Linked DNA regions of Caenorhabditis elegans. The protein of the gene in region 1 interacts with the protein of each later gene in a biochemical or structural test. Each region holds a gene or a part of one and is shown on either strand. Other genes may lie near its edges.

Evidence for each region.
Region 2: the proteins of mep-1 (region 1) and egl-27 form a complex in vitro, tested with the Caenorhabditis elegans proteins (one study listed by BioGRID).
Region 3: the proteins of mep-1 (region 1) and mog-4 form a complex in vitro, tested with the Caenorhabditis elegans proteins (one study listed by BioGRID).
Region 4: the proteins of mep-1 (region 1) and pie-1 form a complex in vitro, tested with the Caenorhabditis elegans proteins (one study listed by BioGRID).

Annotation. Positions count from the first base shown.
Region 1 is NC_003282.8:11,522,964-11,531,515, forward strand, and holds mep-1 (MOG interacting and ectopic P-granules protein 1), read left to right. Parts: upstream 1-1,678; 5' UTR 1,679-1,679; coding exon 1,680-1,802; intron 1,803-1,848; coding exon 1,849-2,191; intron 2,192-2,239; coding exon 2,240-3,182; intron 3,183-3,226; coding exon 3,227-3,723; intron 3,724-3,777; coding exon 3,778-4,070; intron 4,071-4,141; coding exon 4,142-4,555; 3' UTR 4,556-4,991; downstream 4,992-8,552. Other genes in the region: thum-3 (THUMP domain-containing protein), read left to right, coding at 5,093-5,158, 5,205-5,554, 5,762-5,918, 6,474-6,728, 7,165-7,271, 7,318-7,445, 7,495-7,607; M04B2.7 (uncharacterized protein), read right to left, coding at 7,779-7,868, 7,915-8,049. UniProt on the Caenorhabditis elegans protein: Has a broad role in development, specifically in the genetic pathway SynMuvB that negatively regulates specification of the vulval cell fate. Required for fem-3 3'-UTR-mediated repression in the regulation of the sperm/oocyte switch.
Region 2 is NC_003280.10:6,831,746-6,839,312, reverse strand, and holds the start of egl-27 (Egg-laying defective protein 27), read right to left. Parts: upstream 4,293-7,567; 5' UTR 4,233-4,292; coding exon 4,148-4,232; intron 3,859-4,147; coding exon 3,740-3,858; intron 3,727-3,739; exon of another isoform or gene 3,620-3,726; intron 2,687-3,619; coding exon 2,546-2,686; intron 1,462-2,545; coding exon 1,336-1,461; intron 1,287-1,335; coding exon 1,222-1,286; intron 1-1,221. UniProt on the Caenorhabditis elegans protein: Transcription factor which promotes stress survival and delays aging. Required for cell cycle progression and development of the mesodermal and endodermal embryonic lineages.
Region 3 is NC_003280.10:14,556,535-14,564,326, forward strand, and holds the start of mog-4 (putative pre-mRNA-splicing factor ATP-dependent RNA helicase mog-4), read right to left. Parts: upstream 5,066-7,792; 5' UTR 5,063-5,065; coding exon 3,740-5,062; intron 3,547-3,739; coding exon 3,431-3,546; intron 3,284-3,430; coding exon 2,818-3,283; intron 2,622-2,817; exon of another isoform or gene 2,452-2,621; intron 2,170-2,451; coding exon 2,029-2,169; intron 1,518-2,028; coding exon 1,099-1,517; intron 675-1,098; coding exon 455-674; intron 143-454; coding exon 61-142; intron 1-60. UniProt on the Caenorhabditis elegans protein: ATP-binding RNA helicase involved in pre-mRNA splicing. Operates during embryogenesis.
Region 4 is NC_003281.10:12,422,874-12,430,613, reverse strand, and holds pie-1 (Pharynx and intestine in excess protein 1), read right to left. Parts: upstream 3,722-7,740; coding exon 3,437-3,721; intron 3,384-3,436; coding exon 3,276-3,383; intron 3,233-3,275; coding exon 3,107-3,232; intron 2,072-3,106; coding exon 1,983-2,071; intron 1,927-1,982; coding exon 1,527-1,926; 3' UTR 1,419-1,526; downstream 1-1,418. Other genes in the region: Y49E10.16 (Fungal lipase-type domain-containing protein), read right to left, coding at 12-94; snr-6 (putative small nuclear ribonucleoprotein E), read left to right, coding at 1,000-1,055, 1,103-1,319. UniProt on the Caenorhabditis elegans protein: Maternally provided pie-1 is required for germline cell fate determination. Functions as a repressor of RNA polymerase II-dependent gene expression in the developing germline. Required for expression of nos-2 in P4 germline blastomere cells.

The DNA.
Region 1 (8,552 bases):
GTCCGAGTTTTTCCACCTGCTGATTCTAGTGTTATAGCTTTTATATGACGTTTCATCCATCTGTTTCGACAATACAGTAACCCGTCGAGAATGAATATTCGGTTCTCTATTTAGCTGCAATTGAATCTTGAAAACACAAAAATTTCAAATTGAGCGAATGTGTGGCTGAGAACCAACGTTCACTCCCTTGCTATCGAAACTGCACCTGTTGCGATTTCGTGGCGAGACCCGAGGAAATACTCAATTAATAAATACAACGGTGTCAATCCCACATTGACTGATCTTGCAAATATCTTTCTTCATTGTGTCACTTTTTTTCAGAAATGCAGTTTTTCCATTAGTTTATAGTGCCCAGCGAGTAGTATATCCTCAGAAATGTTGATCCTCATGATTATAAGGTCATTATCGTTTCAAAACATGAATAGTCATAACTTTTCTCTCACAAACTTTTCGAATGTATCCTAGAACTGCTGAATCTCACAGAAACCTAAATTACGAAATCAGGTTCTAATTTTTATCAAAAATTTACAAACCTACGAGAATTCGATTTAACTTGAGAATGAAGAAAGACGCCAACTTCAATTGAAATGCACCGAATTTAGTTCAGGTTACTATCATTTGTATTCTAGATGCAAAGGAATTCACACTTCCAGCTGATATAGCGCTGATCCTAACACGATCCTTTCAACATCTTAGATTTTCGTTTAATGTTTAATCGGAATTTATATTTAAGGCCTGTAGAAATTTCCTAGAAAACGCTATAGAAATATTTAGCTGATTCTCAAGTTTTAGGAACGGGCGTCTTCCTGGTAGAAGATAGTTCGCAGCCCATAAAGACAGCACCCGGCCTAACCGACAATGGCGGTTATGAATTTTTAGACCATTTAAGGTTATGATGGCGAGACCACAACAACCCGTCGCCACGCACGTCACGCTCACAAAACACTCATTCATGCGCTCACGGAACGCTCACACACTCATGACATACACACATCATTTCGCCTCACACACCGCGCCGTCGCCATCCGCACCGCCCGGGTGGGACGTGTTCAAACTTTTCGGTTTTCGTAATTAATAGTGAGCCCCGGTTTATTCGCTTTGAGAATCAGTATAATGGATATATCAGATTGTGTAATTAGGTTGCGTGCTTGAACTTTTAAAATTAACTGTTTTAAATTTATCTGCCTTTATCGTTACAGTAAATCATTTTGATGAACTTTTCGGATGAATCATAATGAAGTACGCAGCGCTCTAACAAAATGTGTTTGTAAATTCCAATTGCTACAAGTTGCCCGGCTTATTTTTTGGTGATTGAAGCATGATTCTGTTGACGCTCCCGACGCGGAATACCAGGACGGACCGATGAGAGAGTACTGCCAGTGAAGAGACGCATGCGAGCAGGACGAGTGCTGCTCACCCTTCTTCTCAGCGTCGGCGGCTGCGACCAGCGGCCGAGGAAGGGGAGGAGAGAGGCCGATTTGGCTGCGTACCACGTTTGATACTCAGTCACTTACCACAGCTGGTTCTCTTGTGCGTTCAAATCTGGCTTGCCGCGCGCGCGCATTTTATTCCTACCAGTTTGAATCTCCCACCTCTCCGACTGTAACTGTCCTAATTTGCTTCCTTCTCATCACTCTCTCTTTGCCTATTTCTCACTATCTAGACTCTATTTTTCCAGAATGGTCACCGCCGACGAGACGGTACTCGCCACAACGACCAACACCACTTCCATGTCTGTGGAACCAACGGATCCGAGAAGCGCTGGTGAATCGTCCTCAGATTCGGAGCCAGACACAATTGAGGTGAGGAAAAGTTTTGGGAATTTAAATCTGAATAAAACGTTTTCAGCAGCTGAAGGCAGAACAGCGCGAAGTGATGGCCGACGCGGCGAATGGTTCCGAAGTCAACGGAAATCAAGAGAACGGAAAAGAGGAAGCGGCATCTGCAGACGTGGAAGTGATCGAGATAGATGACACCGAAGAGTCTACGGATCCCTCACCTGATGGATCTGATGAAAACGGTGATGCTGCATCTACATCGGTTCCAATCGAAGAGGAAGCGCGTAAAAAGGATGAGGGGGCTTCCGAAGTGACTGTGGCATCATCTGAGATTGAACAAGACGATGATGGCGATGTTATGGAAATCACTGAGGAGCCGAACGGAAAGTCGGAGGATACTGCCAACGGAACAGGTGTGTTTTATAATTTTACCAAGTTTAATTTTAACTTTCTATTTTCAGTTACTGAGGAGGTGCTAGATGAAGAGGAGCCAGAACCTTCCGTAAACGGAACAACTGAGATCGCTACAGAGAAAGAGCCAGAAGATTCTTCAATGCCTGTCGAACAGAATGGGAAGGGTGTGAAGCGGCCTGTCGAATGCATCGAACTCGACGACGACGATGATGACGAGATTCAGGAAATTTCTACCCCTGCCCCAGCTAAAAAAGCTAAAATTGATGATGTCAAGGCGACAAGCGTTCCAGAAGAGGACAACAATGAGCAGGCGCAGAAGAGATTGCTCGACAAGCTGGAAGAGTATGTGAAGGAGCAGAAGGATCAACCATCCAGCAAAAGCCGAAAAGTTCTGGACACTCTTCTCGGAGCAATCAATGCGCAAGTTCAAAAGGAGCCTCTGTCGGTTCGGAAGCTGATCCTGGACAAAGTTCTCGTTCTCCCAAACACAATATCATTCCCACCAAGTCAAGTTTGCGACTTATTGATTGAGCACGATCCCGAAATGCCTTTGACGAAGGTTATCAACAGGATGTTTGGAGAAGAAAGACCAAAGTTGAGTGATTCCGAGAAACGAGAGAGAGCTCAGCTGAAACAACATAATCCTGTTCCAAATATGACAAAACTGCTCGTGGACATTGGACAGGATCTCGTTCAAGAAGCTACCTATTGTGATATAGTTCACGCGAAGAATCTTCCAGAGGTGCCAAAAAATCTTGAAACCTATAAGCAAGTCGCTGCGCAGTTGAAACCAGTTTGGGAGACATTGAAACGCAAAAATGAGCCGTACAAGTTGAAAATGCATCGATGCGACGTCTGTGGATTCCAGACGGAATCAAAGCTGGTTATGAGCACTCACAAGGAGAATTTGCACTTCACAGGATCCAAATTCCAGTGCACCATGTGTAAAGAGACGGACACGAGTGAGCAAAGAATGAAGGATCACTACTTGTAAGTTTTTTTTTTTTCATCTTTCAATATTCATTTAATTACAGCGAAACTCATCTTGTTATTGCAAAATCGGAAGAGAAGGAGTCCAAGTATCCATGTGCAATCTGCGAAGAAGACTTCAATTTCAAAGGTGTCCGTGAGCAGCATTACAAGCAGTGCAAGAAGGACTACATTCGCATTCGAAACATCATGATGCCGAAGCAAGACGATCATCTCTATATCAACAGATGGCTCTGGGAGAGGCCCCAATTGGATCCCAGCATTCTTCAACAGCAGCAACAAGCTGCTCTTCAGCAAGCTCAACAAAAGAAGCAACAGCAACTTCTGCATCAACAGCAAGCAGCACAAGCTGCAGCCGCTGCGCAACTCTTACGGAAGCAACAATTACAACAGCAACAACAACAGCAACAGGCTCGTCTTCGTGAGCAACAGCAAGCGGCCCAATTCCGGCAAGTGGCTCAACTGCTGCAACAACAATCAGCGCAGGCTCAACGTGCACAGCAGAATCAAGGAAATGTGAATCATAACACTCTGATTGCAGGTAATAGCTAAACATATTTTAAATAAGTATTTTGTATAATTATTTATATTTCAGCAATGCAAGCGTCGTTGCGTAGAGGTGGTCAACAAGGAAATTCGCTGGCAGTTTCTCAACTTCTCCAAAAGCAAATGGCAGCTTTGAAGTCGCAACAAGGAGCTCAACAACTTCAGGCTGCGGTGAACTCCATGAGAAGCCAGAACAGTCAAAAGACGCCAACACACAGAAGTTCGAAACTTGTTACTACGCCGTCTCATGCTACTGTTGGCTCTTCTTCAGCTCCCACGTTTGTATGCGAAATTTGTGATGCGTCAGTGCAGGAAAAGGAGAAGTATCTACAGCATCTTCAGGTAATTTTAAGAAACGTTTCTATTTCAATTTCAAAACCGATTATTAAATATCTTAAACATCACATTTTCAGACTACTCATAAGCAGATGGTTGGAAAAGTGCTGCAGGACATGTCGCAAGGAGCTCCACTGGCATGTTCTCGATGCCGTGACAGATTCTGGACTTATGAAGGGTTGGAGCGGCACTTGGTGATGTCGCATGGTCTCGTCACTGCTGATCTGCTCCTCAAAGCGCAAAAGAAGGAAGACGGAGGTCGATGCAAGACATGCGGCAAGAACTATGCGTTCAACATGCTTCAACACTTGGTAGCTGATCATCAAGTGAAGTTGTGCTCGGCTGAAATCATGTACTCGTGCGATGTGTGCGCGTTCAAATGCTCGAGTTATCAGACTCTGGAAGCCCATCTCACTTCAAATCACCCAAAAGGAGATAAGAAGACATCAACACCAGCAAAAAAAGATGATTGTATTACTCTGGATGATTAATAGGAAAACGAATGGCTTATCCCGTTCTACGAATGAGTGCTGGAAACATTCTTCACAATGATCTCAATTATTTCTCTTATTCTTTACATTCAATCATTTTAAATCACCAGTTCTCCCACTTTCATTGATATACACATTCTATTGCGGGTTCCGGAACCGAAATCAATCAGTACTTTACTTTATTTCCCCAATTTTTCTCTTCATGATATCTGGTTTATTCTCGCATCTTCCCCTACCTTCAAAACTCCCTATTTTTTTTTCAAAACCTAACTACCCCACAATTATCATGTAAAATCAAATTGCAATTCCCCATAAGACAGATCAGTATACACTTTCACTTCATACGTCTGTTGTTCTCCCCCATCTCATACTTTTTTTACCATTTGTCCAGTTAAGATTTTTGGAAGATATCTATCATATAAATATTATCACCTTTACAAACCATTCTTTTTGAAACTATTTTCAGAAATAAGATTCAGATTTTCTCATAATATTTGGAGGAATCTATTTCAACAGATACGAAAGATATTCAGACAAATGACAGACTCCGTTGAAATCTGTGCTGCTGTCATCACCGGTTTTGAAAAAGTTGCAGCAAAAGAGGTAAATCCTGAAAACTAGATAAAATATCTTACTCGAGTTCCTTCAGATTTCAAAATTATTTTCGCCTAAAAAATGCCATCCAGGACGTGGAAATGTAAGATTTTCAATAGATCTGGAACGTGTAAACGAGACTCTGCAACTTCGATCAATCGATAATCTTTATATGGTTTTTTATGAAGAAACAATTGAAAAGCTGTCTGAAATGCAAAAAGAAGATGCATTGAAAACTATTCAATCGCAAATTTCATTTTGTAACTGGAAATTGGCAATTGAAGCTTATCAATTGGCACGTGGAAACGCGATTAACGGAGGAAGTGAAAAGATTTTGAAACAGATTCAACAATTTAAAAAAGATCGAATATATAGTGAAGTTACGGACGATTCACCCAAGTTTAGGTAATTTTTGAAATCAATATCAAAAATCCTTATTAAAATTTTCAAAAAAAATTAAAAATTCGAAATTTTATTGTGGTTTTAAACTGAAAAAATTTGGTACATCTCACAAAAATTACAATTCAAAATTTTAGTTTTGAAATAAAATTTCAATTATTTTTTTTCCTAATAATTTTTATTTTTCAAAAGTTATGATGACTTTTTTTTCAGAGTAACATGCAAACGATGTGGAGAGAAAGAGATTCACAAATTCAGTTCAATGGATGCTGCTTCGAAGTTTGGAGCTGAAATTAATAATGCTTTTGGTTGGAAATGTAGTGTCAAAGAGTTCGATATAGAAGTAGTATTAAGGATTGATCGGAATAATGTAAGATCGGTGTACCTGCAATTTTACAAAATGAGATAGTGTTCTCCCAATCAATGGTGGAATTTTTCGATTTTTTTCAGTGAAAATCGAAAAACGAAAATTTTTGATTTTTCGATTTTCAAAAACCAAAAAAAAAATTCAGAAAATCAACCATAAAATATGATTTTTTTTAAAATCTAATATATTGATATTTAGATAAGAAAAAACATAAAAATTTTCTAAAAAGAGGAATAATGACCAAAATATTAAGATAATTTTTGAAAATCGAAAAAACGATAAAATACATTTTTTAATTTTTCGATATTTGAAAAATCGAAAAATTTTCGCACCCTTGCTCCCAATATCTCTCATTAAAATTTAGGAATTTGCTTTATCTGAAAATAGCTAGCATTTTAGTTGGAAAAAATTTTCAGATAAATCAAATTTTTTAAATACAGTATTCTATCAAGAACTTTTAATGAAAAAAATTGGGAAAATATTCCACGCTGGCTCATTTTGTAGAATTTCTGGTCAGCTGTTTTCTTTGAATTTCTTCTAATTCATTCATATTTTCAGATGACAGTAATGATGGCTCTGAACGAAGAATCTCTATTCAAACGTAATATCTGTGCGTATGGACCAACTACAATGAGATCTACAATGTGTCATTGCATGCTTCAATTAGCTGATATAAAACCAGGAGATATTATTGTCGATGCAATGTGTGGAGGTGGCTCTATTCCGATTGAAGGGGCAATTTCATGGAAAAATTCATTATTTTTGGGTGGAGATAATCATGAGATGGCAATGAGCAGATGTCTACAGAATTGGGTAAGAAAAAACGAAAATTTGAATTACCGCGGGTTCGTCTCGAAACTCCGCCCATTTCCGTGTTTTTATCATTTTCGGCGTAAATTATTCGTTTCGTCTCGCATTTGGCGTTCGGCAATTTTTTGTCGACAAATTCAGCAAATTGCCGATTTGCCGTTTTCCGAACATCAATTTGCCGAAAGTCTTTAGAGGGATAAAACTGTGCCTTTTTAAAACATTTCCTGTTAAAATTGAAATTCCATAATTTCACAAAAAATGTGCAAAACCATAGTTTCCCAAAATTTTTCGGTAGATTGCCGGTTTGCCGATTTGCCGGAAAAATAGTTGTTTTTTTAAATTAGAAGCAAAACGAAGAATTTGTGTCGAAATTATTTCAAAAATGAGTAGATTAGCCACAATTGAAAATTTGCCATTTTTAAATAATAAATATTTTAAGTCGGCGAATTCATCGAGCTCCCGATCAAACTGCGACTTTCTCACTTGGGATGCTACAAATCTTCCACTACGCGATAATTCAATCGATGCACTTGTCACGGATCTACCGTAATCATTTCAACGATTTTTCCACTTAAAAACATTTATATTTCAGATTTGGCAAGAAGATAGGAAGTACCACAGATAACAGGTTACTGTACCCGAGGCTTCTCGCAGAATGGAAACGAGTTTTAAGGAAAGGTGGACGATTAGTCTTGATGACTCATGATAAACGGAGTTTAGGTATTGTGAAAAAACTTTAAAAACCAGAATAATTATTTAATATTTGTAGAAAACTCATTCCTAAAAGATCGGTCTTCATGGCAAACTGACGCGTCTCATGTTGTCAACGTTGGTGGATTATCATGTCTTTGTATCTGCATGATAAATAGAAAATCTGATTAGATTTCAAATTTTTAACATGCTTGTTTTGTTTATAAAATTCAATGAATAAATCAAAAATTCATTGGCTGGTTTCACATAAAAGGCACAAAATTTAAAAGTGAACATGATCAAATAGAAGACACCGGTTTGAAAAGAGAAATGGCGAAGATGGATGAGAGGAATCACGAAAATCTAAACTCGATGAATGAAGTGCAATGATTTTTTATTGTTATTATTATTGATTTTTTCGATTGTTGGTAGTTGAGCAAAATGAAATAATACCTATAAAAAATTGTTCAAATATATTTTTATTTGATTTAATACTTACTTCACTTGCATTCACTGCTTTCAGTACATCACTGTTACATCGAACTGATTTTGCTTTCGGTGGAATTGGTTGAAAGAATATTGAACTTTGAGTGGGAACGCAAACTGCACGAGTTATTCGATCACATTCGGATTTCTGAAAAAAAAAATGTTTTCATACAAATAATTTTTATCTGAAACTGAGGTAGCTACCTCATGTTGTCAACGTTGGTGGATTATCATCCACCGACTTCCTCTAGAGCCTGAAGCACTAATTTTGAATTCAATCCGTCACTTTCAAATTTATTTAAATTTTTAGGCATTTATTTAAATTTTTAGGCAATTTGGGTCAAACTGTCTAATCTTTCGTAAAAATCAAAAATGAGCGGTGCAAATCTCTTGTCAGTAAATCTACAAATCTGACTTTCAAACTACAGAATTAAGAGACATTTGAGACAAATTTTATTAGAAATTATGTGTCATTTCGTTAGAAAGCATTTAAAAGCCATGAAATACAATTTAAAACAAAATGTTTTTTTTTAAAATTTCTATTGTAGTTTTGCCAATTTCTGAAACGCAGTTTTAAAGGCGCATGGATTTATTCAGATGGGTCTCGCCGCGAGAACAAGTTTCTGATAGCGGGTTACGGTCTCTTTTTTA
Region 2 (7,567 bases), on another chromosome or scaffold:
AGGGAGAAAAGAGTATTGTTGGCAACCTGCCAAAAGGGATTCGTTTCAAAAAATAGACGTAGACATCGCGAAAACGAGGCAAAAAACCTAAGGAAATGGTGATGGCGAAGAGGAAAAGAGGGATGAGACGGAAATACACTCTCTCCGGTTTGCCGCGTCATATGACGGGGAGGCCAAGAAAAAGAAGTCGACGACCGGACGCAGATGGCGGTGGCACACTTGGAACATTGAAATACGAGATGCTTAACCAGTGTGTTGAGAAACACGAGTGTAGTGTAGAAACAACGTCAAAGAGAAAAATAAATCAGTGTGGTAATTCAAAGGTATCAAAAGATTATCTGGATAAGCTGGAAAAGCTTAATACATCCAAAAACGAACAAGCTGATTGGAAAATGAGTAGAGCTCAGACGACAAGAGCCACGGCGTCTTGGTTACAAAAAGAAATGTTGCGCATATGTAAACGAGAAGAAAGAGTTAAAAGAGGGAGGAAGAGAACACAAAGTTTGCAATAAAAATGTGATTTGTTGTGTTGTGGTCGTTTCCGACATCCTTCTCTTCCAATCGGGTGGCCGAGCAGCGGGTGCCTTTTTATTAAATTGAGCTTGCAACAGCTCGAGAGAGTGCAGAGAACGCAGGCGGAGAAATTAGCGGAAAAGCTCAAAAAACGGGGTCGTCTTGTTTTTACAAGTTATTAAAACAACGAGGAAATGAAATGAGAAGGTTGATGGTGAAACGAGGACGATAAACAAGTGGAATAATTGATGTTTCGGCCGCTATTTCCACCATTTTCCAACACGTACAACACTCCCACCCCGTCCGCGCTCTCTTCGTCACATCAATTAATTCGGTCCCAGGGGAAATGTGCACATACACACACAGAGGACAAAAGAGATCGGAAGGAAAGTGAAAGATGATTGAGTAGCCAAAACTGATAGATCTCAACGAACGGAAAAATAATTAATGGCTGAAACCACGTGATAATTGTTGCAAATAATAAGTATTAATGAGAATTGCCAAGATAAAGTAGGCAGGTAGTTCTGACGCCTACCACCTAAACCTGGAAAATTCTGAGGCACTTGAGAACTCATTTTCAAAATTCTAATATTTTAACTTTGAAAACGAATCATGTCAAGGGGCAAAGAATTTTTCCAGTGTTTCAATTATTTTAAAGTTATTTTAATTTCAATTTTTTTAGTATTTTAAATTTAAAAAAGAACTCACCTTAAACATGAAACTGGTTGTGTAATTTGTAATTCCGAATTAAATAATTCTCGATTTAATGATTGCTGAAAAATAAATGTGAGTAATTCTGAAAATCTTAAAAATTAAACTAACTGGACATAAATGTGGATTGATTTCAAGCTCAGCTCGTTCTTGTTTCATTAAATTTAAAGATATCTCAGGTATATCGTCTGCTCTGAAGTACCTCGTAAGTTTCACTACCACGTGATCTCGTTTTGTCTGAAAATTGGTATTCTTTATTTTGTTTTGAAAAATATATAATCTCTTATCATTTTTTGAATACTATGTGTAGCCCTGTCAAAGGAATTTACCTTTTTTGATAAACTCAGTTTTCGGCTTTGAAAATCCAGAAGAAAAATTATCCCTGCGTTGTCAAAACTAGAAAATATTGTAATTTTGTTGCTCTTAGAATTTTGGCTTTAAAAACTAGTTATCCCAATTTCCTATTTAAATTCTAAAATAAGCTCATCAGTTGGTCACGTGAATGTGCTTTGTCAACAACAAAGAGGAACATTATGTTCTTCTCACAGCTCATAAAAGTGAGCAAACTTTCTACTTTTATTGTGTATACTAAAATGTATGTTTTTGTGATGATACTATAAAAGTGTTTGAATTAAAAAGTTTATGTTTTTTCACTTTCAATGCATTCTCTAATTCTCAACGACTTCCCGCGCAATCCGATTATGACACGGTTTTTAGTGGGTTCTGAAGGACGAACAAGTGGGCAAATGACTCAATGACATCTTCCTTATACTTTTATGTTTAAAAAAGTATTCAGTGCTATCAGTCGAAAGGAAAACATGAAGGGAATACATGAACCCACTAAAACTGTGTCAATATTTACACAAGTGCGGTTCTCTCCTCCTCTAAACCAGTAGTTCAAGGAACAAGGGAATGAAGAGATATAGAGAACAAGTAAATTGATAGTTGTTTGGAATTTGAGAAGAGGTCAGCAGAGATTATAAAGTATCAAAGAATCTCTAGTTTCAAAAAGAAAACCTCATTTTTCATTTTCCAAAAAGTTCAATTTGTCCTTAAACCCCCTTTTCTATCAATTTATTTCGAAATTGTCAAACATCACCCGGTTTCTCGCAACATTAATTTTTAAATGCCGAATTTGTTATCTTATCGCTACATTCACTGAGTGTTGCCCATTATATAAATATTTCATTGTAACACTGTGGAACGATTTGATCTATTGTGGTTCTGATTTTTGAGGAACAAGTTTCCAAGAAACAATTATTTCAAAAACCTTAATATGGCAGAACCATCTGCTGACATGCCTCACGATCTCATTACTCACATATTTAAATCCGCATATTGCCGCTATCACATACGGCTCGTTTTGTGACACTTCTACGAATACTGAATCTCGTAGCCTGTACAATGTGCCATCATGTGATTGAAACCCTTTTAGATCACTGTCTTGTCGATACCGGTATACCTGAAAAAATATGTTTAGTAAATCAGTAGATTTGTATGTTTCAAACTTTCAACTAACGATATTATATTAGAAACTAGTCTGTCTTATTTATCTTTCCGGTTTCTCTGTATCTTTGAGGTGAAATGAACTAGTGTTCACTTGTACTTGTCGTCTGCGTCTCTCCTCTCATTAGCTTCAGTTGTCAATTGGCACCTCGTCTCACACTAGGTCAATGCCAACTAACACTAAACTGTGAGAGAATGAAATATTATGAGCGCACATTTCAAAACAAACAAACAAATCATATAATGCGGCAAAAAATGTTTTTTTGTGTTTGTGTGTCTATTGTCGCATAGTATCTATCTTTTTAACTCTCAAGCGTCTCTTTTGTTTGTACTCTCTTGAGGGAAGAAGCATCTCTCTGGGGTCTCCGAAAACTTCTGTTGACTTTGCTTTCCTTGCCAGCCAGAAAAAAGCAATTGTCTCGAATTTCAGATCAAAAATTGGGCAGCTGTTTTTGCCTCGCTTCGCTTTTTTTTGGAAAACATGCGCACAATTCGAGGAAGTATGCTGCCGACTGACAACTAATCTAGTCAAAGTTCAATTTTCAATTTTTGACGAAACGAGAAGAGAGGTCACTTCGGTTTTTTTTTCGGCTCGCGATCTTCTCAGTGTTTGACTATCTGGTTCTTCTCGATTTGAAGCTCGCAATGTGTGTGTGTGTAAGCGCAATGTTTGAGGTTTAGCCATCAAAACGTTTCGCAGAAAAAACGGGTGAAAAAAGATTGAAATCCAGGTTTTTGTCTATTTGTAGCGATGTTCGTCTAATCGGGAGAGAATTTGAATTATGACCAGCGTCTCCTCTTCCTTTTGACCTCCCCTACACACTAAACTGCCTAAATGTCTGTGTCTCTTCCAAAAACTCGACAGAACGACAATTAATTGGTTTTTCGAGTGTTGAGATATTGAAGGGGAAGAAGATACGCATACATAAGATGTCTATTCAGATTATAACTATTAAAGAGTACAGGAAATTACTCAAATTTCAGATTTTTGAATTAAAAAATGACTTACTATTCCACGGCAATTCCTATCCGATTTGCCTGTAAGACTATAATAACATGGTTCAATATCGTAATGCTTTTGGGAAAATTCTGGTTCGTCATCGTTTTCCATTGGGGAAGAAACGCCGTCTGAAATTTGATAATTTATATTTTAAATTATTTCAAGTAGGCGGTCTTTAGAATCTAGATCACACAATCAAAAGTTACAAAAAAGAATTGCCGCATGTGTCTTCTTATGTGTTCGTACATTTGTTCGACTAATCCGCTAAGCGCTAATCCGCAGCGAGAATCATAACATTTTACGCTGGTGAAGATGGGGCCATCTTTCTAAAAGAACGGCCCCCACTGGGAATACCCGTATCTAGGTTGACATGACATACAAGAAGACACAGAGACGGTTCAGTTACAATTTCATTACCTTGGCTATCCTCAGATGACGACGGCACACATTCGTCCTCTTTGTTGACGTCTTCACTACTGCACTGGCTGTCAAAGCGGCTCATCTTTGTCTTGTTGCCTTTTTTAGTTTTTCCAGTTTGCTCCCCCAAAAATGATGAACTATCCTAAAGAATTGGTCTTAATTTGAATCATTGAGAACACACGAAAATCAGCTGGATAAAAAATGAAAAGATGAGATGAGAGAGGAAGATGGTGATGAAAAGCACAGAAGTTCTTTTTTCTTTCCCTCCGGAACCCTCTAGAGCCTAGTAAAAACACAAACTAGAACAGCACCGAGGGATAGAAGAAAGGAAGACGGGAGAGAGGAAAGGGATGAAGACGGGGTGGGGTGTGGGAGTGGCGTGGGGCGGGCGAGGGTCGTCGTCGTCGGTTAGTGGGGCACATACACAGAGCACATACACGACTGGTCCGTTAGGAAAAGAGACATTGGCGGCATCGCCGTCGCACCGCATTCATCAAATATTTTGGTGTATTTAGCAGCAGGAGCAGGACCACCGAGCGCCAAGGAATCTGATTGACTCGGAAGATCCATTAGAAGTCAAATACAACAGTAATTGGTAACACACATTTTCTAACTTACACAAATCAAATCTTTTCAAGAACTTGAATTGTTCACTATTTTCACAATCAATTAAGATCACAAGAGAAAATGTTTACTTAACTCAAGAACTTGATCAAACTTCATAAAATCCTTCAAAAACCTTCAAGCTTAATAAATTACTGTAACTCGTCATACGTTCGCACCTACTTAGCGCATACTAACAGATGATAGTAAATCGCAACATCATCCATTAAACGACTTGTCTTGTCCAGCATGTCGCTCAAAAAAGTCAAGTGATGATAAGAAAGAGGAAGAACGACAATTGTCAAGAAGGGGCAAGGTGTAGGAAAAGAGCTCAGTTTTCACACGTGACCTCGGCTCAACTTTCAGAATGAGTCCTGAAGTCTAGATCCTAGTGGACACTGTACTCACATTCAACTACCATAAGAATTGGGGAAAAATAAGTGTGTGTGAGAGAATGAGAACTGTAAAACAGACGCAGAGAATAGTGCTAGTACATACCACAAAAAGGTGGAATAGTCGGTGGAAGGGGGAGGACGGTGTGGCGGGAAGGGAGGAGAGGTAGTCACCGAAGGAAAAGAGAGAGAGAGAGGTAGAGAGAGACAACCCGAGAGACGAGACAACCGATGTATGTTTGCGATCAAAAACAGTTCGACGGTGACAGTGACGACCTCAAAGCAGACCGCCACTGTGTCTTGGCTTTCCATGACGTGGCAACTTTTTCAAAATATGAAATAACTCATTACAAGTGTTGTTGTGCTCTTTCATTCAACCAAACAGTGAGGAACGATGAATTATAAGAGAAAGGGGGAACGGGGGATTAGCCAGAATTGAATAGAAGAGGATGACCTGCTAATGACAATATGGCAAACAAGATGAGAGTCTTATGAATATCATTTGAACATTTTGAGAATCAAAGAACTGGCAACATTTCAGATGTTTTCTTTTTCCAAAATTTATTATGATACGACAGCCATTTTCACACAGTTCGTAATGTGCATAATAAAAATACAAAACGTGGGAGAGACCTGATGGTTGGTGGTCAGGTCAATTGTCAGGCTAGACAAACATAAATGAAAGACTCATGGGTGGGAGGAGACTAACCAACCAGATAGATAGTTCAAGTGGAATACACAAAACTGACGTGATAACAACTAAACTGTCTAAATTTCAATTTTCAAGACATACAAAGAGAAATACGAGTTGAGGATTAATTGCAAAAAAGGGGAGGCACATCATTTTTTGATCTCTGGAACGATAATCCGTTTTTCTTCCAATTTATATGTAAGTGAAAACATTTACGAATTCGTAGAGATGAATAAGATTTGATTGATTGTGATAACATCAGATGTTCTGTTTCATCAGATAAGATTAGAGAAAAAGGCGGCGGTGTCAAGTTAGGTTCGTCCAAACGTTGTTGAGTTTCAAAGGTCTACTAATTGAGAGGTTTTGCAAAAAGAGTTCATCTAGGTGCACATAAAAAATATCTTCGGGTTGAATTGTGTCCGCTTCTTGCCGTGCGGTGGCAGCAATAGCAGCCGCTTCATTCCAACTTCTCTATTTCCCCCGCTATCTAAACCTCTCGTCAGGCCGCCCGCCCGGGTGTCGTCGGCGCCTCCCCTCTCATATGTTTGCGAGTAAAATTGCCCTACGTCGCAAAAATAAACACCGATTGTGTCGACGTCTTCGTCTCGAGGAGCGGATGAATTGAGGAGGACCCCGGGAGCGGTAAAAGAAAGAGAGAAGGTCTCGCCACGATATTAATTGCCGTGTCTTTTACACACACACACACACACGTTCAGCTTTGATTAGTTTCGTGTTATTTTTTACATCTAATATCTGTGGATTGCTTCTTGATCTCCCACATGTGTCTTGCTGATGATTAAGCGAGAACTCTGTGATATGTGTCAGGGAGGAAAGTGAGAATGGATTGGATTTAAAAAAGGTTAAAATTGTAAAAATGAATAGAGGGAATAGAGGATAAGAGATAGAAAAGCGACAAGTGCCCCTTGGGATCCAGTAAACCATTGAATTCCGGAGACGAGTGTTCGCCGGCTTATGCAACCAACGGAAATGGTTTCGCGGTTTTTGAGGCGAAAAAAGAAAAAAGAGGAAGTCAATCAGGAGCCACTACATTACGCTGGCAAAAAGAGGAGGAAAGAGTAGTGAATGATTCAGTAAGTGAATTCCAGAAGTAGCAGAAAAAAGAAAAAGAAGTAGAAAAAAAAGGAAAAGAAGATGAGCAAAATGGACAAAGTGCGAGCAAATTTCTCATAGAATCTAGAATCTAGGAACGTCTGCTCTGAGAAGAAGACATCTGTGTGTCTTGAGTGGCAAATCCGTAAAACCACTTAATTGTCGCGTATACATATATCAAATTGATGGTAGCAAAGTTAGATTTAGTATTGAAATTTGTTAGAGATGAACTCTGAAATAGCACTTATTCAACTACAGGAAGGTAGGAAGGAGGAGAAAGAGTCAACAGCCATACGCACACACATATCTATCTGACACACAAACAATCATCTTCCTTTCCGAAAACCACCGCGAGCGCTCACTCTGTGTCTCTCTGTGTTCAGAGGGAAAGGCCTCCCACCGAGAACTGACTGAATGAATGAGTGAATGGGTCGTTGGATGGTTGAATGAATAAGTGAGGAGCGCAAGCGTAAGGAGGAGAAGATTAAGACGGCAGGAAGAAGATCATATCAAACGACTTTAAAAATTTTGGAAATAATCCCACCAAGAAATGCAGCTGTTTCTTAAAGAAAGGTCAATAGTAGCAGTAGCACTGAAACGAGCAAAGGTATTGCCATGTTA
Region 3 (7,792 bases), on another chromosome or scaffold:
AACATTTACTTGTTTTTTTTGCTCCGAAAAAACCAAAAAAACGAGAGCCCTGCAACCTACCAGTATTATCCAATTTTGAAACGTTATAGAAATATCCGGCTGTGATTGCTTTTCGAATCTTGATTGTGTCAGTTGAAGATTTCTGAAAAATAAATTCCATACAATAATTAAATTACGTTATTAGAAAATATTGAAAACCAGTGTTTTTGCCTCTATACTGATCAGACTTGTTTTTAAAAATTTTAAATTTGAATCCAAAAAATATTTTTTTTTGTATAATTTCGAATTACAGAATTCAATTTTTCTTCATTTGAAACTAAGAAAAATTACGAAAATTGAGAACTAACCAAATTTTCGATTTTCACCATTTTTTTATCAATTAAAAGTGGAATTTTTTTGTATTTTTAACTAAAATCTCTGAATTTTCAGCCTAAATCCATCAAAAACCACCAACCGTCTCAATTTCGACCCGTTCCAAAAGTCCAACCAACTGATCTCGAACATCTCGCGCTCTTTTCATTGTTCGATGTTGCACATAATTCTCCACACACCAACGTTGCGAGAAGCTCGACTCTTGCCATTTATTGTAGACATTCATTAGGGTGATATGGTCTCCGGCGGGACTCCAAAAGCCTTTACGTGCCGAATCCGCGTGAATTACTTGGGCTTTCGGTCTGGAAAATGAAGGGAATTGAGGATTTTGTTTTAAAAAGTATAGTTAAATGGGGAAAAATTTATTTTTCAATACTGAAAAAAAAACAAATTTATTTGTAGAAAATGGAGGAATCAGAAATTTTTTTTTTCATGATTTCAAATTTTTTTCTAGTTTTTAAAATTATTCTATCTATTTTCATGGGATTTTTCGAGAAAATTTTCTTCGTTTTCCAAATTTTTTATTGCATTTTTTGAAATTTGGAAAATGGTTTTCACAATATTTTCTTCAATTTTCAATTATTTTTCCAGTTGTTCTATATAAATTCTTCAATTTTGCCATTTTTCCAAAAGCTTTTTCCAACTTTTTAAAAAAACTTCACTTTTATGCAAAATTTCGGTTCAGCAAAAAAAAAAAATTATTTTCATAAATCTTCCAGAACAAACCTATAAAACACAGCTGCATTACACGAAAGCATTGCCGCAATCGTTACAATTTCCTCGGAACACTCATACTTCTCACTGGCGATAATCATTTTACTCATACACGGATCACACGGAAATTCAGCCATTCGTCGTCCCAACTTTGTCAGCTCTCCACGATGATTCAGTGCTCCGAGAGCATAGAGTTGTTCGAGTGCAATGACAAGCGTCTCCTGTGGTGGAGGATCCAAAAAATCGAAATGAACGAGATCATGGATGCCTAGTGACTTGAGCATTAGCACCACATTTCCCAAATTTGTTCGCTGGATTTCGGGGATCGGTTGCTCTTCGAGCTCATGCTTATAGGCCCACGCTGTGTAGAGTCTGAAGCATTTTCCGGGTCCAGTACGACCGGCACGACCGGCTCGTTGATTTGCGGCAGCCTGAAATTTACATTTTCTAAAATCTTTAAAATTTTTTCAGATTCCTCTTTAATATTTGAGATATTTTAATTTTCAGATTTTCCAAAAAATTTAAAAAAGTTTTTTGATGACTTTTTAGATGTTTCTATTAATATTTAGATTTTTCTGGATTTTTTCCAGACTTTTCTCGAAATTTTCATATTTTTCTGGAATTTTTACATTTTTCTATAAAATTACAGACTTTTTGAAACCTTTCAGAATTTTTTTGATCTGTTAGATTGTTCAGAAAAAATTCAGATTTTTTCCAAGAAATAAAAAAAAAGTTTTTGATGATATTTTAAATATTCAGATTTTTATGGAATTTTTCCATTTTTCAATAAAATTACAGATTATTCTGGAATCTTTTAGTTGATTTATTTTTTCAATCTTATAGATTTTTCTGGAAGTTTTCCTATTTATCTGAACATTAATTCAGAGCTTAATTTTTTAAAGTAATTTTTTTCAAGTTTAAGAGAAAAAAAAAGAAAATTACCTTGGAAATAGTGACAACATGCAAATGTTCAACACCACTTCGTGCATCAAATGAGTTTTGTTTCGAGAATCCTGGATCAATTACATAGTTGATACCATCAATTGTGACTGAAGTTTCAGCAATGTTAGTTGCTAGGACCACCTGAAATTTAGAGAAATTTGGGAAACTAGAAATGCGTGGAATGTTTTGATTAACTTAAAATTATCTTGAAAATGTTATTTTAAAAATTCACCGAACCAAATTTGGACTTTTTGATATTTTAAAATTCTTTGCTTTTTCTTTGAAATTAAAAAAATAATTTTTTGCAAAAAATTTAGTGGTAAATTCATAGTGATTTTAAGGAAATCCCAAAAAAAAAAATGTAAATTCAATTTATTTTAATTTTCAGATGTTTCAAAAGATTTTTTTTCTGTTAATATTTCTGGATTTTTTCAGAATTTTCTCGAAATTTTTGATATTTTTCTGGAATGCTTACATTTTCTATAAAATTTTATAAAATTATCACAATTTTCAGAAATTTCAAATTTTTCAGTTTAGAAATTTTCAAAGAACAGAGCATTTTTTAAAGTGTTTTTTTTGCAGATACGAGAGGATAGCAATTTCAGATTTTTCAATAAACTTTCCGAAACATTTATTTTTTAAATTGGAAAACTTCAAATTTGTTCAGTTTTGTTAAATCTAAACGTTTGCTAAAAAACTAGTTAGGAATAAAATGAAACAGTTTTTGCCTGAAATTTTGTAGATTTTTCTCGGATTTTTTTTTGGAAAAAATTTGTAAGAAAAATCTACCTTTCTCGCATCTTTCGGCGTTGGCTCGAAAATCTTCGCCTGCAAATCACTGGGCAAATTCGCATAAACCGGCAGCGGAATAAGCTCCTTAATCTTCGATCCCAGTGCTTTCGACCGTTCCATAAGTGCTTCCTGTACAGTTTCGATTTCTTCCTGACCAGTCAGAAATACCAAAATATCGCCGGGAAGTGGCTGGGTCAAGTGAATCTGCATAATTGTGACGATAGCCGCGTCGACGTAGTCCGCTTCGGGAGCCTGTGTATAGTAAATGTCCACCGGGAATCTGCGTCCCGGAATTCGGAAAATCGGAGCGTCGTCGAAGAAACTGGAGAACTTTTCAGCGTCAAGTGTTGCAGAAGAGATGAGAAGCTTCAAATCCTTTCGGAATCTTGCAATATCTTTGACTAAACCGAATAGAATATCCGTGTGTAGAGTACGTTCGTGAGCCTCGTCAATCATCATTACACTGGAAACAGGATTTTTTTTCGTTTTTTTTTGGGTTTATTCGAAGTATTGATTAAAATTTAAGAGCGATCGATTTTTTTCTTAATTAAAAACAAAAATCCTGAATGTTTGGTTTTTTTGCTGTTTTTGTAAATGTTCTAAAAATTACCTATAACTAGCCAAATCGGGTTCGTTGAGAAACTCTCTGAGCAGCATTCCGTCTGTCATGTATTTGAGGACAGTCTTCTCCGATGTGCAATCCTCGAAACGAATACTGTAGCCGACCTGGAAAATGGAAGCGTTTCGAAAGAAAAATCGGAATCTGTTTTCCTCGTTTTTTTACAAGTTTAAAAATTTTTAGAAGCGGCAAAGAATTGCCCAAATTTTTTTAACTTCCAGTTTTTTTTTCTAAATTTTGGAATTTTCCGACTAGAATGAAACTTAGTTTATTTTCGCCAATTTCCAAAAACCACCCAACCTGAGTGCCCAGCTTGCATCCAACTTCATCAGCAACTCTAGCGGCAACCGACATTGCGGCGACACGTCTCGGCTGCGTACATCCGATACGCTTCCCACCTTCACAAAATCCAGCTTCATAAAGATACTGTGGTAGCTGTGTCGTCTTTCCCGATCCGGTTTCTCCCTCGATAATGAGCACTTGATGCTCTTTAACAGCTTCGATGAAAGCATCACGGAATGCGTAGACCGGCAACGACTTTCTCGTTTCTTCAATTGACATTTTCTTTTTCTCGGCTTCTGTCTCTACTACTTCCTCATTGGTTCCAGGCATCTGAAGAGCCTGAATAAAGTCCACTTTCTCATCAAGCAACAGCTCAAACTCTTGCTCCTTCCGCTTCGCATCCTTGGCTCCCAGGTGAAGCATCGAGGCCATCAGCTGCTCCTCTTCCCACTTTGCACCATCACCGCCTGGCCTGAAGTCCTCCTCATCATCCTCCACGTACTGTGAAGGGATCTGTTTCGTTGAGGCGTCCGGCAGATGATATCTCTTCATTTTCATGACGTCACCGGCTTTTCCATGGGCTTTCGTGTATTCGAGAACTTTTTTCCGGTACTCCATATCCGCTTTTTCACGTTTCGTGAGCTTCTCCCTAGCGAATAGAGTTTGATCATCGTGAACTATCGCCTCCAGTTCCTCCAGCTTGTCGACTTTTCGTTTTTTCAGGTACTGCCTTCTGGACTCCTCTCGGAGTTTGTCCATGGAGGAACCCTCTTTGTCCTTGTTATCATCTCGCTTTTTCTCCATAACATTTCGAGTTTTATCCTTTTCTTTTTTGTTAATTCGTGCTGCCAAGGCGTCTCTTTCAGCGATATCTGCGTCCAGCTTTGCCTCCATCGCCTCTATATCGGACTCAGAATCGTCGGATTTTGAAGGTTTCACAGATTTTCCTGGTTTACTAGCTTTAATCGGAGCTTCATCGTCTTCACTACTGCTCTCTTTTCTTTTTCTGACATTTTTGGTTTTTGTGGAGCTCGCCGAATAATCCTCCAACACTCCGACCGCCCGATTCAGACGGTTTAGCTCCTGCTCGGCAAGCTCTGCTGTTGTCGGACCACGTTGTCGCGCTGAAGTTGCCTGCCGGGGCATTCGACTCATCAGCTGATCTGCGAATGACTGGATCGCTGGGGAAATCGGAAAATCTCCGGCGTCACGCAGTTTTTCCACTAAATCCGGCGCGCTTTTCGCCTTTTTTGCTAGTGCGTGCACGTATTGACATATTGATCGATCGCTGATACCCACGATTGAGTGTAGTTGGTCGTTGATGAATTGTTCCACGGACATTATCTGGAAAGTTGGATAATTACAGGAAAATTGAAATTATTAAGTGATGAATAATGATTTTTCAACAAAATTTTAGTTGAAAACCACGAAAAAATTCGAAACTCCTTGAGAAACTCATAAAAATCTATGAAAAACAAAAATAAATAAATAAAAATTATTTTTCGAAAGCGCCGGCAATTGTGTGCAAACACCGTCACGTCGGATTGCAGACCCGAGGAATTTCGGATACACGGGGAGGCAAAGCTAACGTGGCTGAAGAAATTTCTACAGTAGTCCCATTTGGCTGACTGAATATTCAACGCGAATAAGTTTTGTACACTATTGCGTACTCTGCGTACGCGCATTTTATTTGACGACAATTCGTTAATATCAGCTCTGGCTAAAAGCGCTTTTCTCATTATTTAAGCGAATAAAAGTCGAAAAAAAAATGTTTTGTGATACAGAATAGTAATTTAAAAAATAAAAAAGTGCATATTTTATGTTTCTCATTATGTTTCCACTGATTTTCTGAGAAAAACCGAAAATTTCCTCTTTTTTCGATGAATTTTAGCTGAATAGTTTGTTTTTATCTAGTTTTTCTTCCGATTGACTGAATAACACATTTAATAACATCAATATAACGTTTAAAACATTCATTGTCTCGAAAACCAATATAAAACTCGTCAGAGAGGGATACTAAGTAGATATGCTGAACAAGGAAATGAGAGAGAAGAACATTAACCGAATGGGGAGGGGGAATAAAAAATCTGAACAGGAACGGAATATAAAGAACATTATTAGAAAGAACAAGCATGGCTTGATCTTCTTGGCAGTCGTCTCCTTATCCTATCACTTCTTCTCGGCGTCCTTTTGATCATGCTACCGAGCAACGTGGCACGATCGAAGAGTTTCACAACGTTTTGATACTTTCGATCCACGAGTCGGGCTCCCAATTCAGCGAGGGTCCTCTCACGAAGCGTGTCGCATTTCTAGGAAATTTAGAAATTTTTAATTTTTAAAAATTAAAAAATAAGTAACACCTCAAGAATTCCATCGAAGTTTTGCTCCTTTGCAATAAGACGAACTTTTTTTTTACGGAATTGAACAGGTACGGCATGAAAACGGCTTCCTCGTTGAACGATGTTGAAGCTCCTTCACCATTGCACCTGAAAATCAACTTCTAAATTTTCAAATTTAAAGAAAATCCACATACTTATCCTCGGAAACGAATCCAATATTCTGGTTGCTGAGTGGAATTGCTTCAAAGATTTTGATCAGATTTTTTTTTGAAATTTTCGATCACACATCTTGTATCCACCAAATCGCCGAGTGCTTCATGAACTTCAGACTTGTGCTTTCCAACCTCTTCCATGAGCTCCACCTCTTCTGCTTGGAACTTTTGATTGCCTTCGGACCGATCTGACTTGTAGTTTCTTCTCAAATAGTGGCTGATTGAGCAGTTGATCTTGCAGTCCTACTTTCTTTGGCTTCTTCTGCGGCACTTGAGCCCTTAAGAGCACTTATTGCTGCTTAACCTTCCTTATTAATACTTCGAACAGCTTCTTCTTGTTCGCATCTATTTCGAATTTTGTCTTGAAATCTTCCAATGCAGCGACAACGTAATATCTGGAAATTATAAAAACATTAAGAGAAAATATTTTGAAAAAAAAATCGAAAATTGCACTGAATTCCTAGATTTTTCATTAAAATCGAAAAAAAAATTATGAAATACGTGAGATTGAGTTTCAAATGTTACTAATTCAGAATCAGCATATATTTTTCTATATTTGAGTGGGTTTTCAGAAATATTGTACCATAATTTTTGGAAAAATTAAATTTTAATTCGAAATTGCACTGAATTTCTCGAATTTTTCACTAAAATCGAGAAACTAAATATGAAATACGCGAAATTGAGGTTCAAGACTTTTAATTCAGAATCAGCATATATTTTTCTATATTTGAGTGGGTTTTCAGAAATATTGTACCATAATTTTTGGAAAAATTTAATTTTTAATTCGAAATTGCACTGAATTTCTCGAATTTTTCACTAAAATCGAGAAACTAAATATGAAATACGCGAGATTGAGATTCAAGACTTTTAAATTCGGAATCAGCACATATTTTTCCATATTTGAGTAGGTTTTCAGAAATATTGTACCATATTTTTTCGAGATATTTTGAATAATAACTTACTTTTCGACGTTTTTTGCCTTTGTCCGGTTTAATCCATCGAATTTCGAAGCGGTTTGCGTAGATTAGCTGAAAACATTATGCTTATTCCACGTAGTAACAAGAAAAAACAAGAAAAAACAAGAAAAAACAAAGAAAAATAAGCATATAAGTCAAATTAAAAATGTTTATTCGATCAAAATTCTTAACCATAGGAGGCGGTGGCCTAGCCGGCGCAGCTCTCGCGGCCACGTTAGCTTTGCCTCCCCGTGCGATAGTTTTCATATGTATATTTTCAGAGAAATCTTTTATTAATGAAAAAAACATATTCAAACTTTGTGAATCTGAAGAACAATATCGATTAAAAACAAAAATTAAAAAAAAAAACACGGATAAATTAAAGACTAGTAGGTCTGTAAACTTTTTTCAAAATATATATGCGCCTTTAAAGGAGTACGGTAGAATTTTAGAATATTTTATTGTGATTTATTGCGAAAATAATAAAAAAAATAGACCGCAAAGGAACAAAATTAAATAAAATTGATAAATATTAAATCGAATTGGATAAACATTTACAACGAA
Region 4 (7,740 bases), on another chromosome or scaffold:
TTCCAACTCACTGTTTCCCCTGAGCCAAACAATCTGAGCACTTGTCGGCCGTTGCGAGACCCAAAATTATAAGAAACCCAATTAGCTTGAGCATTTTAACTGAAATATTTCATGTGAAAGTGTTAAAAATGAAACAAAAATTGATTCAACGAAGAAAATCAGGATTTTTCCATCATTTTTCCGGAAAAAGTGTAGTTAGTTTATCAATTTTCGAGCGAAGGTCGCTTTTTGGTCGTCCAAACCCCTTATCACCTGATTTTTTAGACTTTAATTTAGCATTAACTGTGTTTTATGATTTTGAAAATTTTGAAACTTATTTAACTGATTAAGAACAACTGAGAATGTTGTACAAACAGCGAAACTTTTTGAAATCGAGTTGCAAGCGCGCTCCCATGACGCTCCGCCCCTATAACTAGGGTCTCGATAGGTGTTGGCGGCAAAAGCGTAAATTTAATTTAATTCAAACGTTTTCTATAAATTTTTGCCGATTTCACGAATTTCTCGTTGTTTTTATCGATAATTGCCTAACAAGCCTTAACTTTTGGGGCTATAAACCGCAAATACCAGCTTTAACTCGTTCCAATCTTCAGTTTTATGTAGTATTTAAAATTAAATACAAATAATTAGTTATCACAATTCTCTCCGTGCTTTTCTTTGTTCTAAACTGCATTTTATTAAATTCAAAATTCCGCCTTTTTATGCAGGGGTACGGTTTACAAAGTCCGCAACTGTGCGTCACGGTGCTTGCGTACTCATCTTTTTTGAACGAATTTTCGAAATTATTTTTGTCGAGAAAATAGCCGATTTCTGCTCAAATTTGAAGTTTTTTGGCATTTTTTTTCGTTGAAATTTATGTAAAATGTGAAAAATTATGTTTTAAAGCCATAAATTGTAGTTTTTGAGCTTAAATAGCTGCTAAAATCGAGTTTTCTTGATATTTATCTTAAAAATTTGTGTCTTTCAAAAAATATATTGATTTTTACAGATCATCCCGCAAAAATGTCGACGAGAAAGCTCAACAAAGTGATGGTTCAGCCTGTGAACCTCATCTTCAGGTAATATTTTTTCACTAATCAGTAGAAAACAATTTCCCAAATTTCAGATATCTCCAAAACCGCACTCGGGTCCAAATCTGGTTGTACGAGGATGTCACCCACCGTCTCGAGGGCTACATCATCGGATTCGACGAGTTCATGAATGTCGTGTTCGACGAAGCCGAGGAGGTGAACATGAAGACGAAGGGACGCAACAAGATCGGCAGAATTCTTCTCAAAGGAGACAACATCACTCTCATCCACGCCGCCCAACAAGAAGCCTAAATCATCGTTCACTTTTCACGGATCTCTTTGTTCATTTTTCTGTCTCTGTTTCGCTTTCGCACCGTATTGTTCCAAGTTTTCAAGTTTTAATATGTCTTTAAAAAAAGTAAATTATTTTTGGCTTTTTTGGCACAAGTTCATTCACAGGACAAAGAGAGGGGGTGAGTGGATAAATATACAAAACAAAATATGGAAAATACGGCAAAATTAGGAAATAATAGTTGGTGGTGGCTGAGAGAAGAATCCATCGGGGAACACTTCAAACGCACCGCCCGTGGCATTCGGATCAATAGTCACATCCATCATGGGCATGCCATTCGAATTAATTGGTTGATAGTAGTATGTCGGTGCCATTGGTGCATACATTGGCTGGCTATTCATCAAATCATGTTGCTGTGGAATATATTGCACTGGAAAAGGAGCTCCTTGTTGAGCTTGCGGCGGTGGAGCCAAGAAATATGGCATTGGAAATGGCAGGAATTGTTGCTGATGTTGTGGATGATGATGGTAGTAGGCAATCGGCGGCGGACAATCGGAAGAAGGTGGCGCGTAAACCGTCGCATTCGCATTGAAATGTTGCATTTGTTCGACGTGAATGAAGCGGCATCTGAAAGGAAAATTTATTTTATTTATTTTTAATAAAAATTCCAGATTTCCTAGAACCTTGGACCATATCTGCAGTTTCCTCTCTCGAAATTGTGACAAATCTGACGACGATTCGAGCTTCCGTGGTTGTTGCTGGGTCTCCGATTCTGGAAGTAAAATATTGTAATATTTTCCCTAAATTTCACTTAAAAATAAGGATTTTTGCAACGTAAAACCTCAAAAATTCGCTGAAATTGACGATTTTTGTTCAAAATTTTGAAAAACAGGGTTAATTTTAGCTGAAAATCTTCAATTTTGCCAGAAATTGGCTTTTTTTCCGTCGCCACACGGAGAACTTGCCAAAAATGAAGACTTTTAGCCAATTTAGCCCTGAAAATTCGAGTTTTGGGCGATTTTTGGTCTGAGAAGCCGTTTTCGCAGTATATTATATTTTCTCGTTAAATTTCATTTTAAAATAAACATTTTGAACGTATAACCCCAAAAATTCGCTGCGCAATGGATGATTTTTGTCCAAAGTTTTGATAATTTTAGCTAAAAACCTCGAATTTTGGCAATTTTTCGTGCCGCATCGGCCGAAAGTTGACTTTTTTTGGAATTATCATAATTTAATGCACATTTTGGTAGTTTATCTCACATAATCTGTCTGCAGGCGGGAAAAATTTGAGATAAACTACTAAAAGATGCAAAACAAGGATGATAATTCCAGAAAATCAACTTCGGACCGTCTCGACACGGAAAATTGAGCGAAATTGGAGTTTTAAAATGATTTAGCCCTGAAAATTCGAGAAATTTAGGCGGTTTTGGGTCTGAAAAGGCGTTTTCGCAGTATTTTCTCGCTAAATTTCATTTATTATCACATAATATCAGTACTTAGGCGAATATCTTGTAGAAATGTTGGTTTTGTTCGATAATTCTCTACTTTTAGAGTCGATTCACGAGAAAATGTTGCACCATCTTACTTTTTTCCCTTGTAAAACATAGATTCTTCTGTACAATGAAAGAGAACACAATTTCTTCGTGAAGCAACTCAAAAAGTAGAGAAAATTCGAACAAAACCCAACATTTCTACAAGATATTCGTCTAAATAGTGATATAATGTGTTAATAAGCATATTTTAAATGAAATTTAGCGAAAAAACTGCGAAAATTTGTCAAAAAAGCGAATTTCCATCCGATCAGCACCTCATCATGATGCTTCGATGCTGAAGAACTCGATCGATTGATTGTTGTATCCACGTCGTCTCGTCTAGAACGAGAATCACGGCGCTCACGTGGTGGATCTCGGGAATAATACTCTTGGCGGCGTCTCTGAAAAAAAAATTTTCCAAAGATTTCCAGGCTTCAGACACACCGGAACTCTCAGCTCATCTTGTCCGTGAGCATATGTGCAATTGTCGTTGTACGGGCAGTATCCTTCACGGCGGAACGCATCACAAAGTCGCGTTTTGTATTCTGTGTGCTGGAAAAAAAATCGATTTTGCATATTTTTCAGTTTTTTTTTTAAATCAAAACCTTATCCTTCGCCGAGCTATGTCTTTTAGTTGCCGGCGCCTCGTCAATCTGAGCCAATGGAGTGATCTTGAGCGCTTCACGCTTTGGACGAAGCCATTTTCCACTATATCCGGACGACAGCGAATCATTGAATGATCGATTGATTTTCCGTTGATCTACTGAATTTTGAATTCTCGCCGGGCACGTCGCATTCAGAAGACTGTTCGATCGATCGGCAGCGAACGACGTGTCATCTGAGTTGTTGAGTGCAGCCATTTGCTCGGCAATCGGCTTTGTTTGAGCCATCTGGAAAAGAAAATTTGATTTTTAATTGTTTGGGAAACGAAATACTGCAAAAAGAAACCTAAAAAGTGATTGTAAAACTGAAAAAACGGCGAGAAATCCATTTTTGCCGCCGAATTTGGTTACGGTTGGTTTAAAGGCGCATGCCTAAAGTTTTATTTTCGTTGCGGGACTCACAGATTTTTAAAAACTTTTTCTTTATTTTTTGAAGATTTCTGTGTTTTTTCACTGATTATTTACAAACAAAGCTCAATTTTATGAAAGCTTTCAATGTTAAAAAATAAAATTATATTTAATTGAGAAGTGCTCCGTGCTGAATTTGGGGGCAAAAACTCAATTTATAGCGATTTTTATATAATTTCTTATAAAATAAAATTTTTTCAGATGTTTTGCAAACGAATTACTGCGAAAAGAAACGTGAAAAGTGATTTTAAAACTGAAAAAACAGCGAGAAATCTTTTTTTGCCTCCGAATTTGGTTACGGTTGGTTTAAAGGCGCATGCCTCAAGTTGTGCTTTCGTTGCGATACTCACAGATTTTTAAAAAAACCTTTTTTGATTTTTTGTTTGAGTTTTTCAACTTTTTCAAGCATTTTTCTCGATTTTTGATACATTTTTTGCTTTCAAATCCAATTTTAAAGCTATTTTTCCGATATTTTCATGTTTTTCACGCTATTTTCGATTCAAATGTGTCTTTTAATCGTTTTCCGTACGCTGAAGGTCATTTCTGTTGTCCTCACCAAACATTAAAATTACAAATAGTATCTCCCAAGCAAAAACGTTAAAAATCGCTTTAATTTTGATGAAAATTTTCCAGTATTTCCCAAATTTCGAACAAATTTTTTTTTCAGCAAAAAAGATTTTTCGGAATTTTTTTCTGAAATTTCCCAGATTTTCCAGTAGTTCACCCTTTTTCTCCAATGTACTCGTACTCCAAGTACATAAATATGTCGATTTTCTCTTCCATATCACTTTATGTGGCGTAAAGAATACAAAAAAACCGGTTTTTCACCTCCAAAATCGGGCTATATTCTGTGTGAATATACAAAGAGAAACAGCTTTTACATATGTCTTTTGACGCCATTTTTTCTCGATTTTATTTAAAGGTGGAAATTGCTTTAAAACATGCCTATGGGGACACAATGACCGAATATCATGATAAAAAAATTCAAAAAAATTGTCTAGATGTTATATGATTTTTTGAAAATTGAAAAAATCTCAGTTTTCACCTAATTATATTTGAATTACCGCCAATTGAACTCGTTGGTTGGAGCGCGCTTGCATTATTTTCATTAGTTATTTGAATTAATTTTCATTATTTCACTGATTTTCTTCATTTTTGGGGTTTTTTAATCGGAAAATGAAAGAAATATACAAGAAAAATGCAAAATCTTTATTAAAAAGTAACTGAAAATGCCTAAAACTCCGAGAAATACTAATTTCAGTTTTTAATAAACATTTTGCATTTTTCTTGTATATTTCTTTCATTTCCCGATAAAAAAAACCTCAAAAATGAAGAAAATCAGTGAAATAATGAAAATTAATAAAATTAATTAATGAAAATAATGCAAGCGCGCTCCAACGAACGAGTTCAATTGGCGGTAATTCAAATATAATTAGGTGAAAACTGAGATTTTTTCAATTTTCAAAAAATCATATAAAATCTAGAAATTGTTTTTGAATTTTTTTATTATGATATTCGGTCATTGTGGTATTACGGGAACATAAAATTCTGAGAATGCGTATTTCACAACATATTTGGCGCGCAAAGTATCTCGTAGCGAAAACTACAATAATCCTTAAATGACTACTGTAGCGAATGTGTCGATTTACGGGCTCGATTCTTGGAAAAATCCACGTTTTTCGAATTTTGACAGCGATACTCAATTTCTCTTCGTGTTTTCCTATTCCTTTGTCATTTTTGTGTTTATTTTTTAATATTTTACCTATTAATAAATTAATTTGATTTAAAAACGTCCAATATTCGTGTCATTTTGATGAGTAAACTCATACAGACGTATTTCTACGTTATTAACCGCCTATTACGGAAATAGACGGGAAATGTAAAAATACGTCTGGACGTTTTTCAATTAAATTAATTTATTAATGAATAAAATATTAAAAATAAGCACAAAAATGACTGAGAAATACGAAAAAACGAAGAAAAATTGAATATCGCTGTCAAAATTTGAAAAATGATTTTTTTTTCCGAGAATCGAGCCCGTAAATCGACACAATCGCTACAGTAGTCATTTAAGGATTACTGTAGTTTTCGCTACGAGATATAGTTATATTTTGCGCGTCGAATATGTTGTGTAATACGCATTCTCAGAATTTTATGTTCTCGTATTACCATAGGCGTGTTTTAAAACAATTTCCCCACAAAACTTTCAATTTTATGTAACTTTTAGAGATCTTCCGCAAATCAATTTCTCAAATAAAATACTCCTATTTTGCAGGAAAATTCCTCAGTTTTCACAGCGATTCCTAATATTTTCGAATGTTAAAAAACCTTCTCAAAACAACGATTTCTCTCCTCGATCTGGGTCTATTGGCGCTGTGTAAATATATACAGGCAGACAAAAAAAAAAAGAGAAGAGACACAGACACACAATATAGTCAGGTTACCATCATTCCTTCCGATCACAGTTTACCTCTGCGTCACCTGTATGTGAGAGTGTATTTCAAGGCGAAGAGAACAAACTATGATTCTTGTTGCGAAATTTTTTCGTTTCGATTTCTTTTTGAACCCAGAATAGACTTTTTTGTTTCAAAATGAATACGATTTTCAATTTAATTTTTCTTCCATCTTGTTGTCATTTTGCACGTGTTCACTGCAACTTTTTCCTCACGAGGGACGAGGAAAAGTGGTTTCTAGGCCATGGCCGAGGGGCCGACAAGTTTCAGCGGCCATTTATCTTGCTTTGTTTTCCGCCTGTTTTCTTTCGTTTTTCATCGATTTTTTTTTCGTTTTTTCTTAATAAAACTGATAAATAAATATTTTTGCAGATGCTAAAACAATTTCCAAGTAAAAAAAATCATGTATTCAGTGGGCAAGCAGCGGTGAAAGTGGGCATTGTAATATGATGGATTACGGGAATACAAATCCTTAAATTTTTCTGAAACATGATACATATGCTGCTTAAATGCTGAGACTACCTGATTTTCATAACGAGACCGCTGAAAAAGTTTTGAGGTTTCCAAAATTCAACTTTTTTGGTGAAAAAGTCGAGATTTTCGCACAAAAAGTTGAATTTTGAAAACCTCAAAACTTTTTCAGCGGTCTCGTTATGAAAATCAGGTAATTTCAGCATCTAAGCATCATATGTATCATGTTTCAGAAAAAGTATAGGTTTTGTATTCCCGTAATCCATCATATTGCATTGACCACTTTCACCGCTGCTTGCCCACTGAATACATAATTTTTTTACTTGGAAATTGTTTTAGCATCTGCAAAAAGTATTTATTCATCAGTTTTAATAAGAAAAAACGGGAAAAAGCTGTGAAAAACAAAAGAAAACAGGCGGAAAACAAAGCAAGATAAATGGCCGCTGAAACTTGTCGGCCCCTCGGCCATGGCCTAGAAACCACTTTTCCTCGTCCCTCGTGAGGAAAAAGTTGCAGTGGTGGTGTCAGACTGTCCCATAACGGCATGATCTAAAATAAATGCGGAAATTGAGATACAGAGTTTTCGAAAAATTCCCGCATTTTTTGTAGATCATACCGTTATGGGACTGCCCCTGACACCACGTGAATTTGGGTTTATTTCCACTATTATGTAGGCCTTTCCCCCAGGGCTATTGCCTAGAGCTTGATTTGTCTGAAAAGTTTAAAGAATTCGGAAAGTTCTGCGAATACACCCAAAATATGCTGAAATGAACGATATTCGTAATGAAACTGCTCAAAAAATGGTTCAAATTTTTATTCCGCTTCAAAATTTCGAAAAAAATTACACTGATTTTAGCATATATATCTCGAATTTTGGCCACTTTTCCGCCAGACATCTGTCCGCAGTTGACTTTT